Linked DNA regions of Rattus norvegicus. The main gene of each other region encodes a partner of the protein of the gene in region 3 in a complex. Links are inferred from orthologs where the notes say so. Each region holds a gene or a part of one and is shown on either strand. Other genes may lie near its edges. The genes, in order: Tent5c, Tent5a and Bccip.

Region 1 (7,992 bases), on a different chromosome or scaffold from region 3:
TGCAGGACTATAACAAGTTTCGTCTCTGGACTGGCCCTCCCCATCTCCCCATCGTAGAATTACCTAATTTGTTCAGGACGTTGAACAAAATGTCACCTAAGCAAAGGGCAGATCAAACTTTAGGTTTAGAAGTTTCTTGTGATAAGAGCACAGAAGGGACTAACAGGGAAGCCAGCTGGGAGGGGACCTGGTAGAGACCTGAGAAGGGACAGAACACAGCATATGGCAAACATATATGTCTGAAACGTCATGATAGAAACCACTAGATTGTATGCTGACTTTTGTAGTAGATGTTTTTACATCTACTAATATCAATAGCTACCTCTGATGACCATATCCATGTCAAAGGCCAAGGTAATAATTTGTTTAAATGTTATTGAGATTGGAGCTTTGCAGAAGGTCAGTTACTTCCTCAAGGCTTAAAACCCAGTTCTTAGAAGAGAGCATAGGCAACCATCTTTGTGGCTTTGGGCTAGGCAGAGATTCCTTAAACACTAAACATTAGAGATATGCTTGGTAAGTTGGGCTGATTGGAAATTAAGAAACTCTTTTTACTGATAATAACAGTAAACTATAAACCAGCTACAGGTTGAGAGAAGGTATTTGGAAGAGATATAAGAAAGGAGTTATATCCAGACTATGTGAAGAACTGAATACAGTTCAAATGGGCAAAAGACACACATAGATACATCCCCCCCATAGACCATCATAATGGATCATAAACATTTGAGAAGTTGCTCAGTAGTACTGGTCACCAGAGAAATGAACGTCTAATTATAATGAAATACACATCCCGGTTTTTCATTTACAAAGAAAACACTTGGGCCACGGAGATGGCTCAGAGGGTAAAGCTGCTTATGACCAAGCCTGAGGATGACCTAAACTCAGTCCCCAGCTCACACACGGTGGAGAGCTGGAACTCCCAACAAGTTGTTCAATGACTTCCACACGCCCACTGCGGCACGCACACCCCCCTCCAACAACAGTAAAATGTAACTAGAAAAACTTTAAACAGCATGATCCCAAAGTGGTAAATATGTGGGGTCATCGGGAATCTTTACAGCACTGGTTGGAACATTAAACAGATTTCCCATTCTGCTTTACAAATATATCTATTTGTTGTTTGTTTTATGGTTTACACTTGTTGTCCCCCCCCTTTAGTTATCTTTAATAACTCAGATAACTGGAAATACATTTAAAGTTTAACGTGTGGATACCCTGTGAACTAGAATTTCCAGTCTCCAGCATGTGCCTGACACAACTCAATGCTGTACAGAAGACACAGGGAAGAATGTGGACAGCAATTTCACTATGGACCGTTCAAAACCTGAAGCAAGTGAAACGCATATCAAACAGTCAGCAGACTGCATACATTATTGGTTATTTAATGAGTATGTAGTAGTGAAGAATGAAACATGGTTACATACAACACGGAGAAATCTCATTGACGGAAACATGCTCATGCTTTCTTTCCCCATGTGCAGTTCAGATGCAGGTACAATTGATATATGAAGACTGAGATCTTAATATTGGTAACCCTGTAATATGTTGAGTGACAGGAGCCATGGCCAAGCTGGAAATGTTCTGAGTGACAGCTCTGTGGGTACACACACCTATCATTTTGCACACAATAATAGACACTATGAGATCAGACAGGGCTCACATTAACAACAACAAACCTGGCCCTATAGCCTGAATTTGTGTTCAAGAACATGTAAGTTCTTATACTGATGTCTTATACTGTTATAGTTTTGAGAATTTCCTTCCCCTACCAGAGAAAGCACGTTCGTGAGAACTCTTCATAGTCTAGCAGACACTGCAGGGCACTCCTGCTCCACAGAGGTGCTAAGAGGGCAGAGGAGAGCACCGATTCAGGAAACCATCTAGCCCCCAGTACCCAGCAGAGGGTCAAACGAAGCTCAACAAGTGTTTATTAACACAGCTTTCTAATTTATTTAGTAGCTGGCATGAACTGCATACCAAGCAGTGCATGATTAATAACTATTTCCCTAATATCGACCTCACATTTCCATACTACAGATGGGAAATAGAGGTTTTTGGAGAATAGGTTAAGCCAGTTAGTAAAGCTGGGCGTGTCCCAGCAGTTGGGAGGTGCACACAGGAGGGCCAGTTAAAAGTCAACCAAGGCAACTTGGAAGCCTGTCTTGGGTTCAGGAGGCATTGTATAAAAAAAAAAACCTCAAAAAAACAAAGCAAACTATCCTCTTGCAAGGCCTTTCCAGATAGTTAAGAGGTGAAGAAGATTTCCACTCATCAGCCTTAATTCTAAAGCAGAGCCATCAACCACGTGCAAGGAAATTAAGGGTCGTGTGTGTTTGGGGGCGGGGATGGGGGCCCCCCTCTGCGAGCAGTAACAAGCAGCACAGACCAGCGCTATTCTCAGGAGGGCTGAGCTGCTGTGCTTAAGGCTTTGGTGATGGCTTCCCAGGTCTGCCAACTGCACACAGGTGTCCCCGCGGCCAGAGAATCAGCTGCTTCCTTTCCCCCAGGACCACGACCTCACCTCCAGCCAATTTGCTCGAGGAATCAGAAAGATTTCCAGGGCCCATTTAAGAGTTTTCCGACTTCACAAACACCGAGCGAGGCAAGCGTGGGCTTCCACTCCGGGATCCCGGAAACCAGAGAGCACTATGGTGAAGAGCGCCTAAAACTTTGAAAGAAGAGCACCCAGCAGGGAGCAAGTTGGGTAGAGGGGAGAAGAGTCCAGGCGAGGGAAGGCTGAAGGTAGAGAGGAGCGGAGAGGACAGAGGGAAACTGTCCCCTCATGCTCAAAGTTAGTTCAGCGCCCACAACCCGTGTCTCTCTCTCTCTCTCTCTCTCTCTCTCTCTCTCTCTCTCTCTCTCTCTCTCTCTCTCTCTCTCTCTCTCTCTCTCTCTCTCCTCTCTCTCTCTCTCTCTCTCTCTCTCTCTCCTCTCTCTCTCTCTCTCTCTCTCTCTCTCTCTCTCTCTCTCTCTCTCTCTCTCTCTCTCTCTCTCTCTCTCTCTCTCTCTCTCTCTATTGCGCCTGCGCAATGCTGCCTCTTGGTCACCCCGCCCCTTTGCGCCGCGGGAGGTTTACTTGTCTCTCGGCAACCATTGACCCGGGAAGCCAATCAGAGGGCAGCGTTCGTCCAGCCCCCCCCCCCCCCCCCCGTCAGCGCGGGGCGCAAGGATCCCTCGGGGCCTCGGCCGTCGCGCCCCGCCCTGGCTCCCCCGGGAGGCCGGCCGCGGGGCGGGGGCAGGGGCGGGGAGGCGCGGGGGAGTGGTCAGGCCGGTTAAGATCGGAGGGGGCGGCGGCCGGACCGCTCACTCGCCGCAGCTGTCTGGGGGCCTAAGTCTCCGCACGGCTCCTGCTGGGGGCTGCCCACGCCAACCACCTGCTTCAGTCACCTCTTCTTCCAACGCCCAGGTAAGTCCACGCTCCCATCCTCCACAGGTGGGAGGATGCTGCTGCGGTCCTCCGGTGGGGAGCCACGCACTCTGGCTCCGGGTGGGTCCCCGCAGAGCCTAGTGGGGTGCCCCGAAGATGGAGGCTAGATGCCGACAGGTGTCAGGACCCGTCCGGCTCCCGCGTCCCTGACGCAGGCTTACCTCTGTGAAGGAGCGCAAACTTTTCGGAGACTGCGCTCGGGCTTTGGGAAACTTGGGCGAGTTCCTGCTGGCCCGGCGGCAGTTGTGTAGGTGGCTCTTTCTCTGCTTCTGCTAGTCGGTACTCTAGCTCTGAGCTGCGCCCCTGTGGCGCGCTCACGGAGCCCGGAACCCCGGCGATTTTGAACCCCGCGGTTTTGGCGGCGTAGATGAAGACGCTGTGGTCGGGGGCTAAAGCCTGGCCGGAGAGGGGAGGGCAGTTCCCTGGGCTCAGTGCCCAGGATGGCGGCTGAGATCCTTCTCTATTTGGAACTGTGGGTACCGCGCGTGGCCAAATGATCGAAGCTGCGCGTCTCTCGGAAACTTCTCGAGAATACGGCGGCTGTGAGACCTGGTTCCTCCCCTTTGGGGATCGAAAGTCGCTTACTGCGTAGGCTGAAAGCCATGCAGTCAGTCAGTTGACTCTGATAGCGGTGCTGTTGGTGGCTTAGAGGCGCGGCTCCCGGATCGTCCCGAGCGTCTGCGAGGAGGGTGATAGCCCTTTTCCATAGAAAGAGTTAAGGAACCTGCAGTGCCAGCTGGTAGCCTTTACACCTAGCACTGGCGGACGGGCAGGCAGGCAGGCTACCTCAAAGTCCTGATGAGGAAATGCCTGGTTTTTCAAGAACGCAAAACTTCCACCGGCGTTGATTGTCATACCTAGATGCTCTGGGTCCCTTTCTCCCCTCTTCCCTTTAATGTGGAGAAACCCTTCAGAAAGTCCTGATCAATTCCTAAGTCTTAAGCCCCTCCCCTCTCAATTCGAGGATTAAAGTGCTTACAACGAAAGACTTAGTAGACTTACTGATTTATTAAGAATAGCTATATATATAATCCTTTGAATTATGACGAGTTTGGTATTCTGAAAGTAAAGTTAAAATGTTCAGATCTTCCTAAATTAGACCCCCAGCTGCCCCAGCTACCCTGGGAAGGAGGGTGACGGTGGCCATTGCTGGCTACAACAACTTCCACTGTAATTTGCTTGGCAAGGCAGCGAGGGAGCCAGAAAGCTAGCCAGGCAGCCAAGAGGGTGGTAGGAGAGCTTACCAAGAATTCTCCCGAGCGAGCGAGCTGGAAGTCACTAGAGGTGTGATTGTTTTTCCACATTTTACCCCGCAGTTGAAGGGTGTGGGGTGAAGAGTAAAGAAGGGCCACTTTTCTCTTCCTGCTGCAGCTGGACCAGCAGTGGCCCTGTCCTCTGCAGTCCTTGTTTGTGAGGATGGAGCGCTTAGTATCCCAATCAGAAACCTTCTCTCTGAAGAGATAGTTTGGTTTAGGAGTTCACACGATAGGAACTTTTAGAAGGATGAGTTCGATGTGTGGAATACTTGTCCCAGTATCTGCACAGGATGTCGATGACTGTCATTAAAATTGTGGGGGTTGTTCAGCGATCTCTAGACAGTTACCAAAAGAAAGGTCCCGAAGTTTTATGAGTGACTTTAGTGTGTGCACCTAGAACAAACAGTCACACTCTTTAGTCTGAGTTTCTCCCATAATACCTACCTTGTATCTAGAGATTAGGTTTGTGAACTCAGAAGGGAGGACTTGGCTCTTGGCCCTTGGCCCTGTTGGTCTGAGTGTGAGTGGAGTGCCAAGAGCTCACTCTTCAGCTTTTCCAGTTCTGCTGCACGCATAGCTCCCAAGCTTTCTGCAGAACTTTCAGCCTGGACGTCTCCCCCAGCCCCAGTGGGCTCCCAGTCAGGCACACGCTTAGCCTGCATGCTAAGTCCAAGGCCAGGCAGATTACACTTGCCTTGCACTGCCCATTGGAAAGTCCGGGAACCTCTCAACAATGAAGGCAATTTAAAAGTGGGCTGTTGTGCCCTGTTGTACTATTAGCTAGGCTCAGCTGTGACAAAATGGGAACGCCGCATTGAATGTTTCCTTCCTTCCTTTCCTCCCTCTCTGCCTCCTGCCCAGCTCCATCCACTAAGTAGTACCCTGCCTTCTCTCTTCTATGCTGTACTGTCTCAGAGTCAGCCATGGAAGAAGGGCAGCCTATGTTACTAAGAAAAACCATAGAAGCAGAGATGTGTTGAATTAAGATGATGTTTAGGGGTTTATCTTCCCTGTCCTCCTGAAAGCGAGCTCTCCCTCTCCCTCCCTCCCCCTCCCCCCTCTCAGTTAATAGGTGGTGAGGCAGAATGAGGTGTTTCTTGGACTAAGACTGGTCTGTTCCTTTTTCTCATCAATGAGGTAACGGGCAATATGGGGAGATGCCCTCTACCATCCCGCTGTTTTGACTGTAGCTGTTGAAATTGTATTATGACACCAGCCCCTCCATATTTAAAGGTGTGCTCGATGAGTTTAAAGCTACTTGAGGCAAGAGTAAAGCTGACCTCCTAATTTCTTGAACCCAAGGTTTCTCCCTCTTTGAAACCTTTTGATTGGATGCATTCATCGAAAGGAAGCTTAGAGTTCAAAAGGTTTATAGAAAACATCTTCACATAACTCTGTAAGGGAATCTTCTGGACTTTTTCACATTAATATTCTGTACAGCTGGCCCCTGGTAGCTTGTTCTTGAAGTGTTTGCAGAGCTTTTTGAAACAACAGGGACGAAGCTCTTAACAAGAAGAAGTAATTGCTGACACGAAGCAGCAGTTGTCCAGTGGTTGCAGAACATTTCCCACTGTGGGTCCTTAAATTGGGTGGTCCTTTTTTCTTGGATGATGGTGGTTGAGTCAGAAAGTGCTTCCTAGGTGGTGTTTGGTGCCAGGTGCCAGAGAGGCCAAAGGAATGGTATTCGAAAGGCCTGTGGAAGAACTTTAGAGGTGAGAGAGCTGGCCTGGCTTTATGATATACTTGAAGAACTTGTTTTTCTCTCAGTTGTCCTTGCACATGGACCCCAGAAAAGTGGGGTTTGTGGTCACTTCAGAGTCCTCACCCCTGCCTAAAAAGTGCATGCATGGCACATCTATCATGTGAATACACATTCTGCTGGGGGCTGCCTGCTGTTCCTTGCAGAGAAGGAAGCATGGTTGAAGTAGCTATCCTGCTGGACCAGGGGACCAGATGGGGCTTTTTGTGTTAGTAGCGCCAGATTTAAAAGGCTGGATGGTTTCCTGATCATCTTTTCAGTGAAGCCTCTGCAGCATAGGCTTGGAGCTAAGGAACAAGGTGCCTGCAAATTGATCGACAGCTGAAACTCCTAAAGCGGCCAGCTTCTAGCCCTACCGGAGCACCTCTACCCACCCCAGCCCCTGCTCTCCCAGCCCCTGCTCTCCCAGCCCCTGCTCTCCCAGCCCCTGCTCTCCCAGCCCCTGCCCTCTCAGCCCCTGCTCTCCCAGCCTCTGCCCTCCCAGCCTCTGCCCTCCCAGCCCCTGCCCTCCCAGCCCCTGCTCTCCCAGCCCCTGCCCTCCCAGCCCCTGCTCTCACAGCCTCTGATCTCCCAGCCCCTGCTCGCTCACTCAGCCTTTCTCTCTCCCGTGTTCACTCAGCTGCTAGCTCTGCTGACTCTTCTGTTTTGACTTTTTTGTTTCTCGACGTCCTCGCTGACCTGGTTTAGAGGGGACTGTGGACAGGAGCTAGATGAGAGCATCAGCAAGCCTCCCCATCTCTGGCCAATGCTCAGTCCTTTGTGCCTGGAGCACTAGAGTAAGCCCCCAGGAACTGCCCATCTCTGAGGACTCTCTGCCTTCTTCTAAGATTGTGATTTCCTGATGCTTTCCTTGATGCCCCATGGCCAGGTCTTCCTTAACTGTCCTTCTTTGCCGTGCAAAATACAGACTTAGATATTTGGAGAAAAAAACTGAACATAGTCCCTTCCCCTCTGACCTCTGTGCAGGCTCTGACTGACCTCTCATCTGAGAGGACTACCTTACCCCGCATCTGTCTGCTCCAGTATGTTATATGGGCTTTTTGTTTTGCACATTTTCTTGTTTTTATTTTAATTTAAAAATTTTAATATTGAACTGAAGGGGTTTGTTGTTGTCATTGTTTCGCCATCTCCCATTGTCTCCCCATCTGGCCCCTATCACGAAAACTGAAGAAAAATTCCCAGGGATCATGAGCCATCCCCTCCTCCCACCCAGTATTCCTTAGCTTCTACCCTTGGCCTTACAGGATGAGGCCAGGTACCTTCTATGTGACCTGGCTGTGTGTCTCTGACCCTCCGTGTGCTATGGTGACCCCTGCCCCTCTTTGTCATAGTTAGAGATCCGCGTCAGGATTCCACAGCTGCCTGAGGCTCTGGTGCTAGCTGTGTGTGGACTATGGGGATGTAGAGAAAAGAGGACGGTTAAGACACACGGATGTTTGCTCTGGGTTGTTCATCTAGAAGCCGCCACTGCTGTTGCTGCTGCTGTGTCCCATTCCAGACTGTTGTAGACTTTGTGCTTGCTTCCTTGCCTCTTGTAGGCGGACCCT
Region 2 (8,233 bases), on a different chromosome or scaffold from region 3:
CTTCCCTCGTACTTCCCTTGGCCATCAACAGAAAGCAAGTTAGTGCTTACAATTGCAAACTTTGCAGTTTCGTGTAAGGATGGCTGCAACTTTCCAGAATATAAATATTACCTCGCTTTGACGACAGAAGGGGGACAATGAAGAACATGTGCTTCCATTCAGCACTGAGTAACCAGTAGCCTTTCTAGGCAGCAGGCATATATTAATCCAATAATTCAATTGCCTTCTGTGGCACTGCCAAGAGTGCGTTGCCCCAGATGTCGCAGTGTGGGAGGCAGGCAGGAGGGTCTAGTCAAGCCTGGAAAGTGTGGAATGCTCTGTTATTAAGGAAGTGTTACCCACAAAGGACTGCCAGCTAGAGGAAATGGGGTGTTCCCCGACCCGGTGACTGGATCTCTTCTTTCCCTCAGCACGTGGTATGGTGTGGTATGGCATGGTAGGCACTCCACGATCCACCCGTCTCATCCAAGTCTCCTGTTCTTGGGAGAGGCCTTGGGAGCAGCTGTGGAGAGAAGGGTGCTGGTTCCTGAGGGAGGGAACAGGACAAAACTACTGGTGAAGTGGAAAAGTGGAAGCTCTGGTTGTGCCCTCTTGTCAGGATCCCCTCCCTGGCAGCTTTCTAACAAAGTTGAGCCCGTCAGCCTCATAGGATACATGGCAGGTGTGAGCAAAGAACTCACGGCTCACACACTACTCTAGTTTCAGCTTTATTTTTCTCCGTTCTTTTTGATGGAAGCTTAAAATACCATGCAAAGTAATGAGAGTGGGGCTGAACTATTGCTTTTTTTTTTTTTAAAAAAATGCAATGTATTTAATCTATGACTAGCCTCTTTGACATTATTTTTAAGAAAACTCAAAATTATCAAGAAGAAAATATTTCCTGATACTTTATCAAGAAACTATTTTTATATTCTCTCTCTCTCTCTCTCTCTCTCTCTCTCTCTCTCTCTCTCTCTGTATCCAGAGTAGTAGTCTCCTCTCTTATTTGCCCTCCTCCCTGCCCCCACCGGCCTTGCTGCAGTTGCTTGCCTCAGTTTCCCCTGAGAAGGAAGAACTAAGCCAGGGATATCTCATTCGGCAATGAAGCCTAAATAGCATTCACAGTCAGATGGCTGTGCAAGACCTGATCCCGTACGTATGAAAGTTATGAATTTGGGAGGCGATCATTACCTTGTAACCCCTTTATTCCCAATCCCCCATGGCACTGACGCCTTCTTCTTGACCTGAAGACTGTGAGGTGTGTGGGAAGAGCTAAAGGTGGAAGGTGGTGGCTCACAAACGTAATCACATCACTTCAGAGGATGTTGATTTTGAGGCCAATTGGAGCTACCCAGTAAGACTGTGCCATACACGCTCGTGTGTGATTGCCACACACACCCACACACACACACCCACACCCACACACACACACACATTTCGTATATACGAAATGTGTTGCTAGGCACTGCTCATGGTTGGACATGTCCTGAAAGGAAGTAGCGGGATTTGAGAACAATGTAGGGGTCCAGGGATCCTTAATCGCTCAATTCAATTTGGCCTAGGCCGGGCCTATGCTAAGAAAGCCTGGCCTCTAGTAGAGTGTCTTCATTTTGTGGACTCACAGCTCCACAGGGCACCAGCAGGGGGCGGCGTTGTCACGCAGCTAGATCCGCGTGGGCGACACCCTTGCATCCCATCCCTCAACTCAGAGCCACACAGGTTGGGCTTGTAGGCCAGGGCTCCCTAAATTCAAAGGCTGGTTCTCTGAAGTTGTCTAGGGTCATGGGGGTAATGGCTGTTCATTCCAGGACCTCTCTCTAACCTGACTGCCTCGGCCCACAGCCTCTACCTGGAGCAAGGACTGCAAAGCATTACTTTGTACAGAGGCAGCGGGCGGCGGAGGAAGTGGACAAGGGAAAGCCGGAGCTTTCTAGCAAACATTGTGGTGCCAGAGCGCGCAGATAACCTTTTCCAATCCTTAAGCGCTACACTGGCGACTGAAGCTGGAGGGGAGAAACTTCGCGTCTTTTAGATTTGCCCTTTATGGCTGGTAAGGAGCCAGACCCTACCTAGATCATTGAGGTTTTATTCACTCGAGAACTGAGAATCTTAGAGACTGCTAGGAATGCACTTCGTCCCTCGGGTCTGAGCCGAAGGACCGCCACCCTTGGGTCCGCTTTCCTGCACTGCTGGGTTGCGCTCCGAGACCCCGCCGGTTGGCCGCGAGCTCCTGTAGCTGTGTGATAGGTAACGCGCGCCTGCCCGGCTCGCGCGCAGCAGCTGGACGCGCACTCAGGCTGGTTGGCTGGCATCCGACTTCCCCAGCACTTCTGGAGGTTTCGAGAATCGAAACTCAGTTCTCAGTAAACCCTCCCCCTCCCGCACGGAGACTGACGTGCGTGATCAGTTGCCTCTGGAGACTACACTTGGCCCAGGGTCCTTAGTGGAATCGGCGGTCTAGCCACAAACGGACACTGTTGGGGGAACCTCCAGGAGACCCAGAGTTACTCGGCAAATGACGCGCTACACCCGGCCAGAAGGCTAGGCTTGGGAAGTTTCTATAGTTGCATGATTTTTTAACCCTGATCCAGTTTTGATGGACATCTATCACATTTGAGGCAAAGTGTCTCCTCTTCAGGGGTGTGTGTGCGCGTGTGCGTGTGTGCGGACGTGCAGAAATGGACAGATCTACACGTAGGAGCCACAGGCATCTGTCTGTGCACATTAGCCAGGGGCTGCGCACCTTGGCCTGGCTCCAGCAGCCCTGAGCTCGGGCGACTGTCCACCCAGCCCTGGGGGGCGGTGCTCTATGCAAATGAGAGGGTGTGGCGAGCACTGCGCGCAAGGGCCCCGGAAGCGCGGAGAAGCCCGGTATAAAAAAAGTACTGAAGACATTTCCCCCCGCACAACTGCTAAAGCTCCAGAGACGCGAGTGTGCGCGGTGGCATCGGCGGCGTCGAGAGCCGCCACCTCCGAGACCACCGCAGCGGGGGCGCGGGCGGGGCGCGGGCAAGGGGCGGGAACGCTCAGGGCGCGGCGGGGGTCGGCGCAGAGAAGTCTCGGGCCGCTGCCCCGAGCGCACTCGCAGTTCCTGCGAAGTGTGTCCGCCTCGCGGTTCCTCGCTCGCCTGCGCTCCTAGAAGGGGCGGCCGCCTCCAGGTGACACAGACGGGACTCTCGCTTGTGCTTTCCAGATGCATCAGAGATACTTTTGGTGCGGGGCTGCTCTGCGGGGCGCGGCGCGCGGCTGGGCACTGGGGTCGGTGGGGGGAGGAGGGCTCCTATGGGCAGCTCCTGGGACGTCATGATCGGGGAGGGGGAGCCCAGGCCCCTGGGCGGGACCCCGGTCCCCGCACCCGCACACCTTCCTGCCGCTCCCCTAAACCCACTCTTTCCTCTTAGGACTGACCAAGGCCAAGTGGCGTTCGGCGGGCACTACATGGCTGAGAGCGAAGGGTACTTTGCCATGGCAGAGGACGAGCTGACCGGCGGCCCCTACATCCCTCTGGGTGGTGACTTCGGCGGCGGTGGCAGCTTCGGCGACCGCTGCTCGGACTATTGCGAAAGCCCCACGGCGCACTGCAACGTGCTGAACTGGGAGCAAGTGCAGCGGTTGGACGGCATTTTGAGCGAGACCATCCCGATCCACGGTCGCGGCAACTTCCCCACGCTCGAGCTGCAGCCGAGCCTGATTGTGAAGGTGGTGCGGAGGCGCCTGGAGGAGAAGAGCATAGGTGTCCGCGACGTGCGCCTCAACGGCTCGGCCGCCAGTCACGTCCTGCACCAAGACAGCGGCCTGGGCTACAAGGATCTGGACCTCATCTTCTGCGCCGACCTGCGTGGGGAAGAAGAGTTTCAGACTGTGAAGGACGTCGTGCTGGATTGCCTGTTAGACTTCTTGCCCGAAGGGGTGAACAAGGAGAAGATCACGCCGCTCACTCTCAAGGTAAAGCCACCTGATGGGCTTGGGCACAGTGGCGGGCCGGGGGCGGGGAGAAAGCAAGCCGGATTTGCCCTCACTGCGGACCGTTTGGCCGTAGGGAGTACATTTATTTATTTTTTTATTCTTTTTTTCACGAGTGTACTAATGTGCGTGAGTGCTATGGAGTGTTTTAGTTTCCTGGGAGCTCCAGCACCACAACTCTGCTTCCTCCTCTGCGTTTCCTTCTCTTCCTTCTCTCTATGGTTTAACTCTTGACTTTCCTTCCTGGACTCGTGTCCAGAGTATAATGTGATTGGTGGAAGGATGGAATGATGTAAATAATTTTTTTGAGTCATCTTGTGATCTAGACTTTGGGAAAAATAGCAGCCCGAAGCAGAACTGAGTCAATGGTTTTTTATTGTATTGGAAAATATGAATAGATTCCTACTCTGGATTCAACTGACTCCAGCGTTTAAGATATTTGGTGCTTTTCCCTGTGAATTCACGAGTTGAGGGCATAGTAGTGTGCCCCTCCCCTTCGGTTTAGGTGGCATTTTGTATAATTAATTAAAGTTGTCTGAAGGCAATTTAGTTCCTCTTTGGCTGTGAGTGTAGTGTGTTACTGGAGAGACTGATAAGATTGATTGCCTAAGGGGGAGGAGAACTGCGTGGTTGGAGGCAAGGGTGTGAGAGGCGGACTCCACGACAGTGTCTGCCTTTCTGTGGATAGCGAGTGAATATTGTGCCTATTAGACCATCTTCAAAAAATAACATTTGAAGTCAGACATGACAACAGAACGTCTTAGTATGCTGCCGCGTCTGCCAAAAGCCTCAAACTATTACTTCTAGTCTCTTTCCCAGACGGCAAAACTACTCGTTAAATGTATTTTTTCCCCCTGTTTTCCGAAGTCTGTTTAAGCTTGTAGGTAGTGTTTTGCTGAAACTTAACAAAACAAACAGGAAGGGGCAAAATAATTCTCAGCAAAGAAGCATTTATTGTTCCTTTTCCAGCTTTGCTCATTTTTTTCTTGTTTTATCTTTTACATCCTAGGAAGCGTATGTGCAGAAAATGGTTAAAGTGTGCAATGATTCTGACCGGTGGAGCCTTATATCCCTGTCAAACAACAGCGGCAAAAATGTGGAGCTGAAGTTTGTGGATTCCCTCCGGAGGCAGTTTGAATTCAGTGTAGATTCTTTTCAAATCAAATTAGACTCTCTTCTCCTCTTTTACGAGTGTTCAGAGAACCCAATGACCGAGACATTTCACCCCACCATAATCGGCGAGAGTGTCTACGGTGATTTCCACGAAGCCTTCGATCACCTTTGCAACAAGATCATTGCCACCAGAAACCCCGAGGAAATAAGAGGAGGAGGCCTGCTTAAGTACTGCAACCTCTTAGTGCGGGGCTTCAGGCCTGCCTCTGAGGAGATCAAGACCCTTCAGAGGTACATGTGTTCCAGGTTCTTTATTGACTTCTCAGACATCGGAGAGCAGCAGAGAAAGCTGGAATCCTACTTGCAGAACCACTTCGTGGGCTTGGAAGACCGCAAGTATGACTATCTCATGACCCTCCACGGAGTGGTAAACGAGAGTACGGTGTGCCTGATGGGACATGAGAGAAGGCAGACTTTAAACCTTATCACCATGCTGGCAATCCGGGTGCTAGCTGACCAAAATGTCATTCCTAATGTGGCTAATGTCACTTGCTATTACCAGCCGGCCCCCTATGTCGCAGATGCTAACTTTAGCAATTACTACATCGCACAGGTTCAGCCAGTATTCACATGCCAGCAGCAGACGTATTCTACTTGGTTACCCTGCAATTAAGAATCATTTAAAAATGTCCCATGGGGAAGCCATTTCAAAGATAGTAAAATGAAAAAAAAAAGGAAGAAAAATTATGAAACAACACCAAAAAAGGGGAGTGACCCGGCCCTAATTAGGGATGTGTTTTGTGCACTGAGGACTTGCTCCCGATTTTAAAGTTGGCAATGCTTGGGGATCTTTCCATACATAAGGGAGCATGATCTCAACTCGTCACCCTCTCCACCTATGGTCTCTATCCAATCGGATTGTATCTTGAAACAAAAAGAGGCCTGTTAGGGAAAGCAGCCAGATTCTCCCAAAATAACAAGAGAATTAAAAAAAAAAACCGGCTTGATTTTGACAATATGGGTTTGCAGCAACTACTCCCATAGCTCTGCCATAGGGAAGGGGAATGGTGGGGAAACTTTTAAGATGGCGTTCACAATGGGAAAATGCTGAGGAAGAAAGCCTTGCCTATCACTTGAGGAGGTCAGAAAGTGACCAGGGAAAGCAGGGCTACTGGTAGGGATTACCATCTGTCTAGCAGCAAGTGCTCCCTTTGGAGTGATCCTGTTTTCCTCACAGAAACAGCTCAGTCCAAATGAACGGTAGGCAGGTTGATGCTGTCCTCATAACAAACAGCAGAACTTAAGGATGACACAACCCCTTGATTCCAGCTCCGTGCAAAGCTTGCGTTCTTTTTTTCTTTTCCTTTTCTTAAATGTGAAGACCCAAGCAAAAACCAGCTGTAGCCAAGAAAACATGCGCAAGGACCAAAGATTTAACTGATAAAAGTTCCCAAGCAGAAGAGGTAGGATAGGATATATAAAGAGTTACTATATTTGTTACACACCAGTACACATCAAAGTGCCTGTTGCTTTCAGAAGATTAGAAGTGGAAAAGGTTATTTTATGGTTTAATAATTATTTTATTTTATCAGGGACTCAAGAAAAAAAATAAAGCAACATATTAAGCTTGTGAATGGTGGCAGAAATGGCCTAATTTTTTTTTGACAAATACCTATATAAAGTTGATATTGTTTGGTGTGATGTTATAGGTACGTATATACTGTTTGTGTGTATACACACACACATATGTGATATGTATGTATATATACACACACACTACTTTGTCTATGACCTAAAATAATGTATCAAAGAGGAAAAATTTTAAAGATAGTGATTTTTATGTTTTTGGGTAGGATCTTAGAAGACATGGGCATACTGCAATGATGGCGTAAAACCCATATAAAAATGAGACAAATGGAGGGATGTGAGTAATATATTTGATAGGAAAAGCAGAGATTATACATTTTTAGCGAGTTTTTTTTCCTTATTTTCACTGAACCAGAGAACTTCACAAATGGGAGACTTCTTGGTAGCACACTTCTCAATTGCCTTGCCCTGGCATTTTGACAGTCTGAGTCCCTGCCCCTTAAATAAATAGAATCACATGCCTTCAAGGCTTAGAACGTATGGATCATGGATCAGAGATAGGATAATTAAATCCATAACTGCTCAAAAAAGAATTTCTGGAACCTAAACACTACTTTTAATATTTAAATGAATGCAAATGAGCGCATTCTGCATTTTGGACCACTAGAATTTAATAAATGTGAAATGACCCTTTTTAAAGAGTATTTGCACAACTACATAAAGTTTATATATAGGATATATATTATATATATATACATTTTATAAATTTATCCAATATGAAATATGTTTGATCTGGTTGTCACACTGCATAGAAATATTTAGTACTGTACCTTAAATTAAATCACTTTGTATTTGACCAAACCCAACTTTCGTTTTCTCTCCCAAGAGACCATTTGTATACCTTTGTGACATGAACTGATACTCTCATGTTCAGTGACAGCTCAACTTAACTCCTTTCCCAGCCCTGTAGACACTGGTCTCTGAAAAAAATACATTTCACAAGCAAAGCAAATGCATTAAAAACCTTCCTTTCTTGTTGTGAAACAATCACACAGGGTCTGGTCCCCTTGAACTTTCATGAATGACTGCTAAGTATGGTAATTCCTCTGCAGAGCCAGTCAGTTACAGAGAAGCTAGGGAGAACTTAACACTCTCACGTTGGCAATGATGCTATCTCCCAGCACCTCTCAGCTTCTCATGGCCAGATTAGTCCAGGTTGATGTGTCCGGACCACCCTTCTGTGCACCTGTATTTGAAGCCTTACCAGGAACCAGATCGGCTTGATGCTAGAGCCTCCCTGTGAATCCTCACCAAGCTGTCACAGCCTCCAACACTGCCACTCTCTTTTATAGAGAACTGATCCTACCATGGTGGTCCAGTTTTCCCCTTCACTGCCCTGCATTTGAAAGATCAGTTTCGAAGTCCCAGGAAACATTGTTCAGCTTGCAGATTAAGCCTGGAACTCACCTATCAGAAACCACAGTCTAGCCGGCTTAGCTCGCCTGTAAGTTCTCCTGGACTGCTGGTGGGGCAGAGGCTCATCTGGTGACCTGGTTTCTTCTCCCGCTAACTCTGCATATATGAGTTATCC
Region 3 (7,469 bases):
TGCATAGCTAGGCCATGCTGAAATCCTACACAGACCTCCTTGACTTGTACAGAGTTCACTACTGAACTAGAAACTGACTCGTGAGCTCTCCGGATTCTCCTGTGTCTGTGCTGGGGTTACAGGCAAGTGCCACCATGTCCCAGTGTTTCATGTGGGTGTCAGTGATTCCATCCCAGACTGTCAAACTTGCATACCTTATTTTTGCTATTTACTTCTTGTGCAACAAAGGCAGAGCTGCCCTACTGTTGCAGTCAGTAGAGACAGCGCAAAGGGTGAATACCCTAGCTTTGCGCGTCTGACCACCATGCCGATCTATCCCTAGAATCCACCTACACAACTGGATGCAGGGATGCATTTGTAACCCCCACACTCCTGGGGCTGACGAGGCCTGTCAGCACAGTAGCTGCAATCAGAGATCCCACCTCTACAGGGCAGATGGTGCTCGTAAGCACGTCACAGCATACATCACAGCATGCGTGCACACTCGCACAGACAGGCAAATATATACATTCTTAAAAACTGTATCATCCAATTCAGAAAATGTCACCCCTGAGGTTTTTGAAGAGTGCAGTAGAGAAAGAATGTAAGAATACTGTCTAGGACTTGGCTGCCCACCATCACGATATGAGCCACCACTACAACAAGTGCTAGAGGGAGAAGCACTCAGACCTCAGGGCACAGAGCAGCTATGATCACCTCCCTCACATGTGCACAGGCGAAACTTAAAACTGAAACATGCAAATGTGGCTTGACCATCACACTGTTAGCATGCTCTGAGTGCCTAACCAGTCCCAGGCAGTACCCACCTCACCCCACCACCTACACACAGTGTAATAGGAAGCTGTTGTGTGTGCAAGATGTACCAGATAGTGTGTAAGCCAACAGCCAGAGACCACAAAAAGCTGGGTAGGCTAGAGGACTTTGGCTTAAGTCAAGAGGATAAGATTTTGGTTTTGTTTTTTTTAATTTCTTGAGACTGTTTCTCTGTATAACCCTGGCTGTCCTGCAACTTACTCTGTTGATCATGCTGGCTTCTAATTCAGAGATCCCCCTGCCTCTGTTCCCCATAGTGCTGCAATTACAGATGTGCACCATGGTCCAGCCTAAAGATGTCTTACTTTCAAGAAAAGCTACTAGAGCTAATGGAGATGAAGCAGGGCATCCTTACCTCATAGAAGAACTCTTCCTCTGCATTTGCAAACATCAGTGCTTCCTGTGGAAGGCCATCCCGCCTCTTTCTGGAAGTAGACTTTCCTGCCTCCACAAATGTCTTACTAATCAGCAGGTAGAAGCAGCACTTGCCACATGGCTTGTTGGTTCTTCGTGCCTCAGCCAGTTCTTTCCTACAAGACAGACAGACAGACACAGACACAGACACAGACACAGACACACACACACAGGTCACCACTGGGTTACATCTATCTGGACCCAGAAAACTGATGCAGCACCCTCTGGGCTAACTCACGCTACTGGCTGTACCCTAGGCTGCGATGAGACGGGCTTTTGCTGTAAACAGTGAATAATCTGAGTTCAGAAAGACACTTACCCACTAAGAAATAATCTCAGACTCACTCAGATTCACTGTTTTGTGCAAATTTAAAAATAAATAAGAACCTGCACTTTTTAAACAATCAATGTTTAACTGCAAATTAAGAGGCACACAGGCACGGCGCACAGCACTAGAGCATGTGACTACCCAGTTCTGACACTGCAGCAACTTCACAGACGTAGCTGGGAGAAGGGACACAGCGAGCATGCCTGTCTACACAAGGGACACAGCCAGCATGCCTGTCTACACAAGGGACACAGCTAGCATGACTGTCTACACTTCAACCCTGTGCATCAAAGCACAGGTGACACAATCCTTCCCTCACTCAATTCTCTAAACTTTGTAGTTCTATGTTTAAATGTTTTTGTAACTTCAAACTCCTGTATTCAACAACATAGGGAGGCCAAGAAGTAGGGGCAGTATTAAGGATTTGGTTTCACTAATCAAACCAGAATGTAAGAATTTGACTCTGGTTTTTTTAGTATTTGTTCAACATTTTGTTCAAATTACAGGCATGTGTGAATGTGCAAACTGTCAGTCAAATGTGAAAAGCTTGAAAATTCACCAGTTTCTCTACCACCTGAATGTTTGAAAATATTAAAATTCCTGCCACCAGTAATCAAAACTTCTCAAGGGGCCGGATGCTGGAAATGAGCAGCCCCTGCGCACTACTCCACCCCACCGTCCCCATCAGAGCTTGCTGCAGCCCAACCTACACTGCTGCAGACTCCACCTCCGATGCTACCTGAGTAAGGAATGAGCGTCTGAGGCACTGCCCAGAACTGCTTACTGAAGCTGCTGGTGCATAGGCAGAGCAATCTGTGGAGGAACGTTAATGAATCTTTCACTCAGCAGAAGGCCCACAGGCTTGCTGGTGTCATTCAAAAGCTTGTCCAGCTGTTCAACCATGCTCTGCTCACAGCTCTTCTCACAGGAGCTTAGAACCAACTCTTTAATTTGTTCAGCACATTGAGTCCCCTGGAAAGGAAAGAGAAGGCTTGCTCTCTGCCCCAAGAGCTGGGTTCCCTCCCGCTGCCTTTACATCCTAGCGCTTCTTCGGTATGACTGCTGAAGAATTCTCCGGCCATCACTACACCTAATCACCATCCCATGATTGGTGGTAAGTCGAGTTTCTAATTAACACACACTGGAACAGCACTTCTATTCCACCTCACAAAAACAGTTGGGAACTAACTGGAAAGTTCCTTTGAAAACTGAAGGTGGACTGCGGCCCGCATCTTATTCTCAGAGAATAGGCAGCTGACATAATTTTTTATTAGAACTCATTACTAAGTCAATAAAGAGATGAGAAAACGTAAGCCCATGTTAAGGTCCCACTCTCAACTTTGGAAGCTGCTGAATAAACCCTCTGTATGCACACTGTACTGGGAGCTAAGAGACTGGCTGCAGAATCTTGCAACAGAACCTGCGTCAGAACCACCATCCCAACACTAGGCACTACGATGTTACTGATCATGCCACCAGAGTAATCAGCTTTAAGCTGGTACAAATCACTCCGGTCAAGACCGCTCCACACTGAGAAGGACAGAGCAGGAAGGAGCGCTTGCCCTGACAGCATCATCTCTGACACAAAGACTGCATCCTGACCACAGATCCGAATACCACGCAGTGAAACTAACCTTTCTTTCACTTAAATTTAAAAGGCTGATGAAGCCAAAGATCTCATCTTCATCCACTTCACCATCACTGTCTTCTGAAACATCTGTTTGCTGTTTTAAGAGGAAAATACTTCAACTTTACATTATTCGGCTGGAAAGAAGTATAACACCAATTTTCCACTTTTCAAAATCAAATCTTGTTTTTCTGCGGTCGGGTACCAGAGCAGTGAGTCCCGAGTGCAGTGTGTCAACGTTCAGAACACTCTGCCTCCAGACATTCTGGATGACATCATCCTGCGCTGCACGGCTTCATACAAGATGCTTTGAGTTTCATTTTGTGAGCCAGGGCTTCACTGAGTAGTTCTGGCTGGCCTGGGGCTCCCTAGAGACAAGGCCTGTTAATCACATACAGCAACGGTCAGAACTACACAGGGAAACCCTGACTTGAAAACCAAAAGGAAAAAGAAGACTCATGTATATCTGGGTATGGTGACCCTGACCCTTGCTTTTAATCTTAAGCAGGTGGATCTCTATGAAGTCCAGGCCAGCCAGAGCTCCCCTGTCTCAAAAGAAGATTCTAAACATTTTTTTAAAACCAGAATTTCAATATATTATTAAATCTGGGTAAGGTTGATATTCATGAGCCAGCCCATTTCTTCTATCTCCAGGAGCCTCTAACACTTTATCACCTAAAATTCACATTCACACAATGCAATTCCTGACCATTACAGAAACAATTGGGTTTACATGGCAAACACATATACCACATGGGCAAAGGGAGACAGCAAGCAGCAAGGAATGACAATGGTGAACCAACTTGAACTCCCTAGCTCTGTTCTGCCTGCTCCTCCACTAGGAGACTAAACCCCTAGCCAGTTTACTAAAGCCCTTCCTTCACATGGTGCCTGTTTGCTTGTCCAGGCCATAAACTCCCTTCTCACGGCACTCTGCCCTCAGCCTGACACACAGAAAGTACTCAAGGAATCCATGTTGAATGAATGAGATGAGATGAAACTGATCCTTCCACCCCAGAGGACGATGGGGTCTACGATGGTCCGGTGCGCCCTCGAACCTAGGACAATGGGGTCTATAATGGTCTGGTGCGCCCTCGAACCTGTTACAGCTGCCTCAGCACCATGGGCTGTTAATGCTCCTCTACAGCTCTTGGCAAAATGTTTTTGTTTGCTTGTTTTTTTTGTTTGTTTTTTTTTTGTTTTTTTTGTTTTTTTGTTTTTTTGTTTTTTTTTTTTGAGACAGAGTATCTTAGTGTAGCCCTGGCTGTCCTGGAAATAGCTCCATAGACCAGGCTGGCTTCAAACTCAGAGATCTACCAGCCTCTGTCCCTAAGTGCTGGGATTAAAGGAATGGGCTACCACTGCCCAGTTGGCAAGGATGTCTTAGGTTCAACAAAACTAGGTGAGAATGAGAAGGTGGCTCAAGAACCAGCCCTGGTCTTCCACCATCTCTTTCTGAGTTGTCCTATCCTTCAGATGACCCAGCGACAGTGCCAGGAGCCATGCAGTAATGCCCCACTCCAAGCTTCCTTGGCTCACAGAACAAAGCAGGAACTGAAGGGAATCTGACCTCTGTCCAAATGGCAGGTCCACAAACCAAGCAGATGCCTGCTGCAATTCTAAGCTGTGGAACTTTTTATAATAGAACAACAGGAAACCAGAAGAATCCCAGGGGACAGGTGGCAGAGCAGTCTTGGGGCTGGGTCCTCGTTTCCTGTGACCCTACTGAACAAGTGCTTCCTTAAGTACCCCACTCCTTGTTTTTATGAACTCTTACCGCTTTCCCCTCCCGCTGCAGCCATTCCTAGCAGCTCTCTGCCATTTCTTTTGCTCAGAGAAGCATGGCTGGCATTACCAGGGTATCTGTCCTTTGCTCTCCCATGACAATTCCGATGACGTCTGATATCAGTGACTGACATTTGAGTGACTCCAGCTGCTGCTCAGCATCCCGCACTCCAGACGCCGAGTGCGCACCCATAATTCACTCATCAGCCCTACCTACCTACCTTCTATGTGTGCCAACCTCAGCGCTCTAGCAAACTTGTTAGTCAACCTTGACCTACCCCCCACATCCCTAAGGGACCCAGTACACTACACTGTGCCTTATTTCACCTCCCAAATACCTTCTAAGTCAGACACCTTCTCTCTACCAGGGCTGATGCCTGGATTCCTGCGGTAACCTCTGGGCAGTCCTCAATAATACTTCCTTTCAGCTGGAGATAAGGAGGACAAAGCACCCACAGAGCCCATCTCCCCTCTGACCTTAATCACACTCCCGATGTGGTTCTGCTGAATCAGGAGATTGGCCAGCTCTGCAGTGTTCACAGGGGCTTTTAGGAAAAGCTGAAAGGAGAAAAATATTTTAAATTAAGATCAAAGCCAATTTCTAATAACACTGTGATTCCATTATTCAAACAGAAACAATGAAATGTAGTGACCTGACCAAGGTAGCTGTAAAGTAAACCCAGGAGGAAAACAAACGTCCAGAGTCACATAAACTCCAGAAAAGACACAGCCAGTGGTATTAGCAAATAGGTATAGAAAGAAGACAAACACAGCCATATTATTTGACGTAAAGGCAAAGTACAGCAAGGCGGCCTTCACGGCACTGGTAGGAATGTGTGATGCTCTGCCTCTGAGCTGCTGATGCCGTGTGACGATGGCCTCGGGCCCCACTGCCTGCCTTCCCCACCTTCCCTACCGCAGGGGACAGCATCCCCTCTGAACTGGAAGCCCAACTCCTCCTCCCTTACAACATTTTTGTTTTTTACCCCACCAAGCTCAGATGTGAATTATGAGAAAGAGATGAGAATCTCAAGCAGTGTCCACACGGAAAGGAAAGCATTCCAGGACGCAGCAAAGGTCAGCATTGTAACCAGGAGCTGGGAGGAAAGCACGAGCAGCCATTCACCCTGGGAAAGGAGACAGAAGACATACATGGAAGTTCTGCAAAGACGGTACCTGTTGCAGTAACTTCTTAATTCCTCCATAATCATTATCTGAGATGGAATAAGCTTCAAATTCAATATTCACTTCCTGTAATAATACGAGAAGCAGGTCATCACAGACTTACAGACGACACAGGCAGTATTTTCATTTTGTACATTTTTCTTTTGCCCAGGTTTCCATCCTTTAGGTCTGTTCCTCTATTAGTTATCTGCAGAGCATGTCTCAGAGTTGGGGTTGAAACAAACATCAAATGTACTCTAATGTGGTGTGAACCAGCAACTTGGGATAGAGGAAGGAAGATCAGTAATTTGAGAGCAGCCTGGGCTACACTGCAAGATGTTTCATAAAAGGGAAGAGAGTGAGAATCTTACATGTGCTCATATGCCACAGTACCTGTATGAAGTCAGGAGACAATTTACCGCAGTCAGTTTCTCTTTCCATCATCTCAGTACAGGGAGGTGACCTCAGGTAGTCAGGCGTGGCAGTAAGTGCCTTTACCTGCTGTCCCATCTCCTGCCTTCCCCATCCCTTTTAATAGCACATACAGTTGCTTTTTTATTTTGTTTTGTTTTTCAGGACAGGGTTTCTTGGTGTAGCCCTGGTCCTTATGGAACTAGCTCTGTAAACCAGACTGGTCTTAAACTCTCAGAGATCTGCCTGCCTCTTCCTCCTGAGTACTGGGATTAAAGGTGCCACCATTTCCTGGCTACACACATTACAGTTGAAATTTTAGATTTATTTTCTGTGTCTCCTGTGTCTGCTCCACAAGAGCATAGTCCTTCGCATCTGCTTATCTATCTATCTATCTATCTATCTATCTATCTATCTATCTATCTATCTATCTGGTCATGCTATGCCGCTTGGTTAGCCTTAAACTCACATTGTAATCCAGCTTTACCTTGAACTCCCCATCCCCCTGCCTCAGCCTCCTGAGTGCTGGGATTACAGGCTGGTCCCTCTAGGCATGGCTTTTCCTTTCAAGTGCTTGGTACCTGCTATTACTTAGTAAATATTTGCTAAGTGAATAAAGCCTGGCCTCACACAGATGGGTAAATTTAACTCTAGGCAACTCTGGGGACTTGAAGTGATCTTGTTCTCTATGCATGCTCTGTGGAGACAGGTGAATAATTATTTCTCTTTTGAGGCTGCCTGACAGCGTTATCTAGATGAGACTGTGTCTGCATTTAAATCAGGTCACTGCATTTTGGTCCTTCAGGCTTTTGCATCACATGGGGAAATGGTATGAATGGCCTTTGTAATCTGTACAAGTGGCAAACTTGGCAGTGTTTACCCTTTTATCCCCTTTTTCTTTGAGAAAGAGCCTCTCTGTGAAGAACA

Evidence for each region.
Region 1: the proteins of Bccip (region 3) and Tent5c are in contact, whole or in part, in a cryo-EM structure (PDB 8EQB), measured with the Homo sapiens proteins. The link is inferred for Rattus norvegicus from reciprocal best matches to the Homo sapiens genes BCCIP and TENT5C. Residues at the interface, in NP_510868.1 of Homo sapiens: Val57, Asn58, Ile59, Glu60, Phe61, Glu62, Ala63, Tyr64, Ser65, Arg136, Gln146, Cys153, Lys155, Ala204, Gly205; in NP_060179.2 of Homo sapiens: Asp90, Asp92, Glu102, Gln106, Arg109, Lys135, Glu136, Val139, Gln140, Lys141, Leu142, Val143, Lys144, Val145, Cys146, Thr147, Asn164.
Region 2: the proteins of Bccip (region 3) and Tent5a are in contact, whole or in part, in a crystal structure (PDB 8EXE), measured with the Homo sapiens proteins. The link is inferred for Rattus norvegicus from reciprocal best matches to the Homo sapiens genes BCCIP and TENT5A. Residues at the interface, in NP_510868.1 of Homo sapiens: Val57, Asn58, Ile59, Glu60, Phe61, Glu62, Ala63, Tyr64, Ser65, Leu66, Gln146, Val149, Leu150, Phe152, Cys153, Glu154, Lys155, Asn156, Cys157, Glu158, Lys159, Glu163, Lys167, Leu203, Ala204, Ala206, Thr225; in NP_060103.2 of Homo sapiens: Arg87, Gly88, Asp139, Glu151, Gln155, Lys158, Lys184, Glu185, Val188, Gln189, Lys190, Met191, Val192, Lys193, Val194, Cys195, Asn196, Asp199, Trp201, Asn213, Arg289, Lys295, Glu331, Arg334, Gln341, Asn342, His343.

The regions. Positions count from the first base shown.
Region 1 is NC_086020.1:190,559,087-190,567,078, reverse strand, and holds the start of Tent5c (terminal nucleotidyltransferase 5C), read left to right. Parts: upstream 1-3,176; 5' UTR 3,177-3,409; intron 3,410-3,591; exon of another isoform or gene 3,592-5,732; intron 5,733-7,992. UniProt on the Homo sapiens protein: Catalyzes the transfer of one adenosine molecule from an ATP to an mRNA poly(A) tail bearing a 3'-OH terminal group and enhances mRNA stability and gene expression.
Region 2 is NC_086026.1:95,103,754-95,111,986, reverse strand, and holds Tent5a (terminal nucleotidyltransferase 5A), read left to right. Parts: upstream 1-2,886; 5' UTR 2,887-3,172; coding exon 3,173-3,192; intron 3,193-3,380; coding exon 3,381-3,924; intron 3,925-4,951; coding exon 4,952-5,728; 3' UTR 5,729-6,575; downstream 6,576-8,233.
Region 3 is NC_086019.1:197,946,681-197,954,149, reverse strand, and holds part of Bccip (BRCA2 and CDKN1A-interacting protein), read right to left. Parts: intron 6,219-7,469; coding exon 6,144-6,218; intron 5,526-6,143; coding exon 5,445-5,525; intron 3,280-5,444; coding exon 3,190-3,279; intron 2,528-3,189; coding exon 2,340-2,527; intron 1,344-2,339; coding exon 1,169-1,343; intron 1-1,168. UniProt on the Homo sapiens protein: During interphase, required for microtubule organizing and anchoring activities. During mitosis, required for the organization and stabilization of the spindle pole.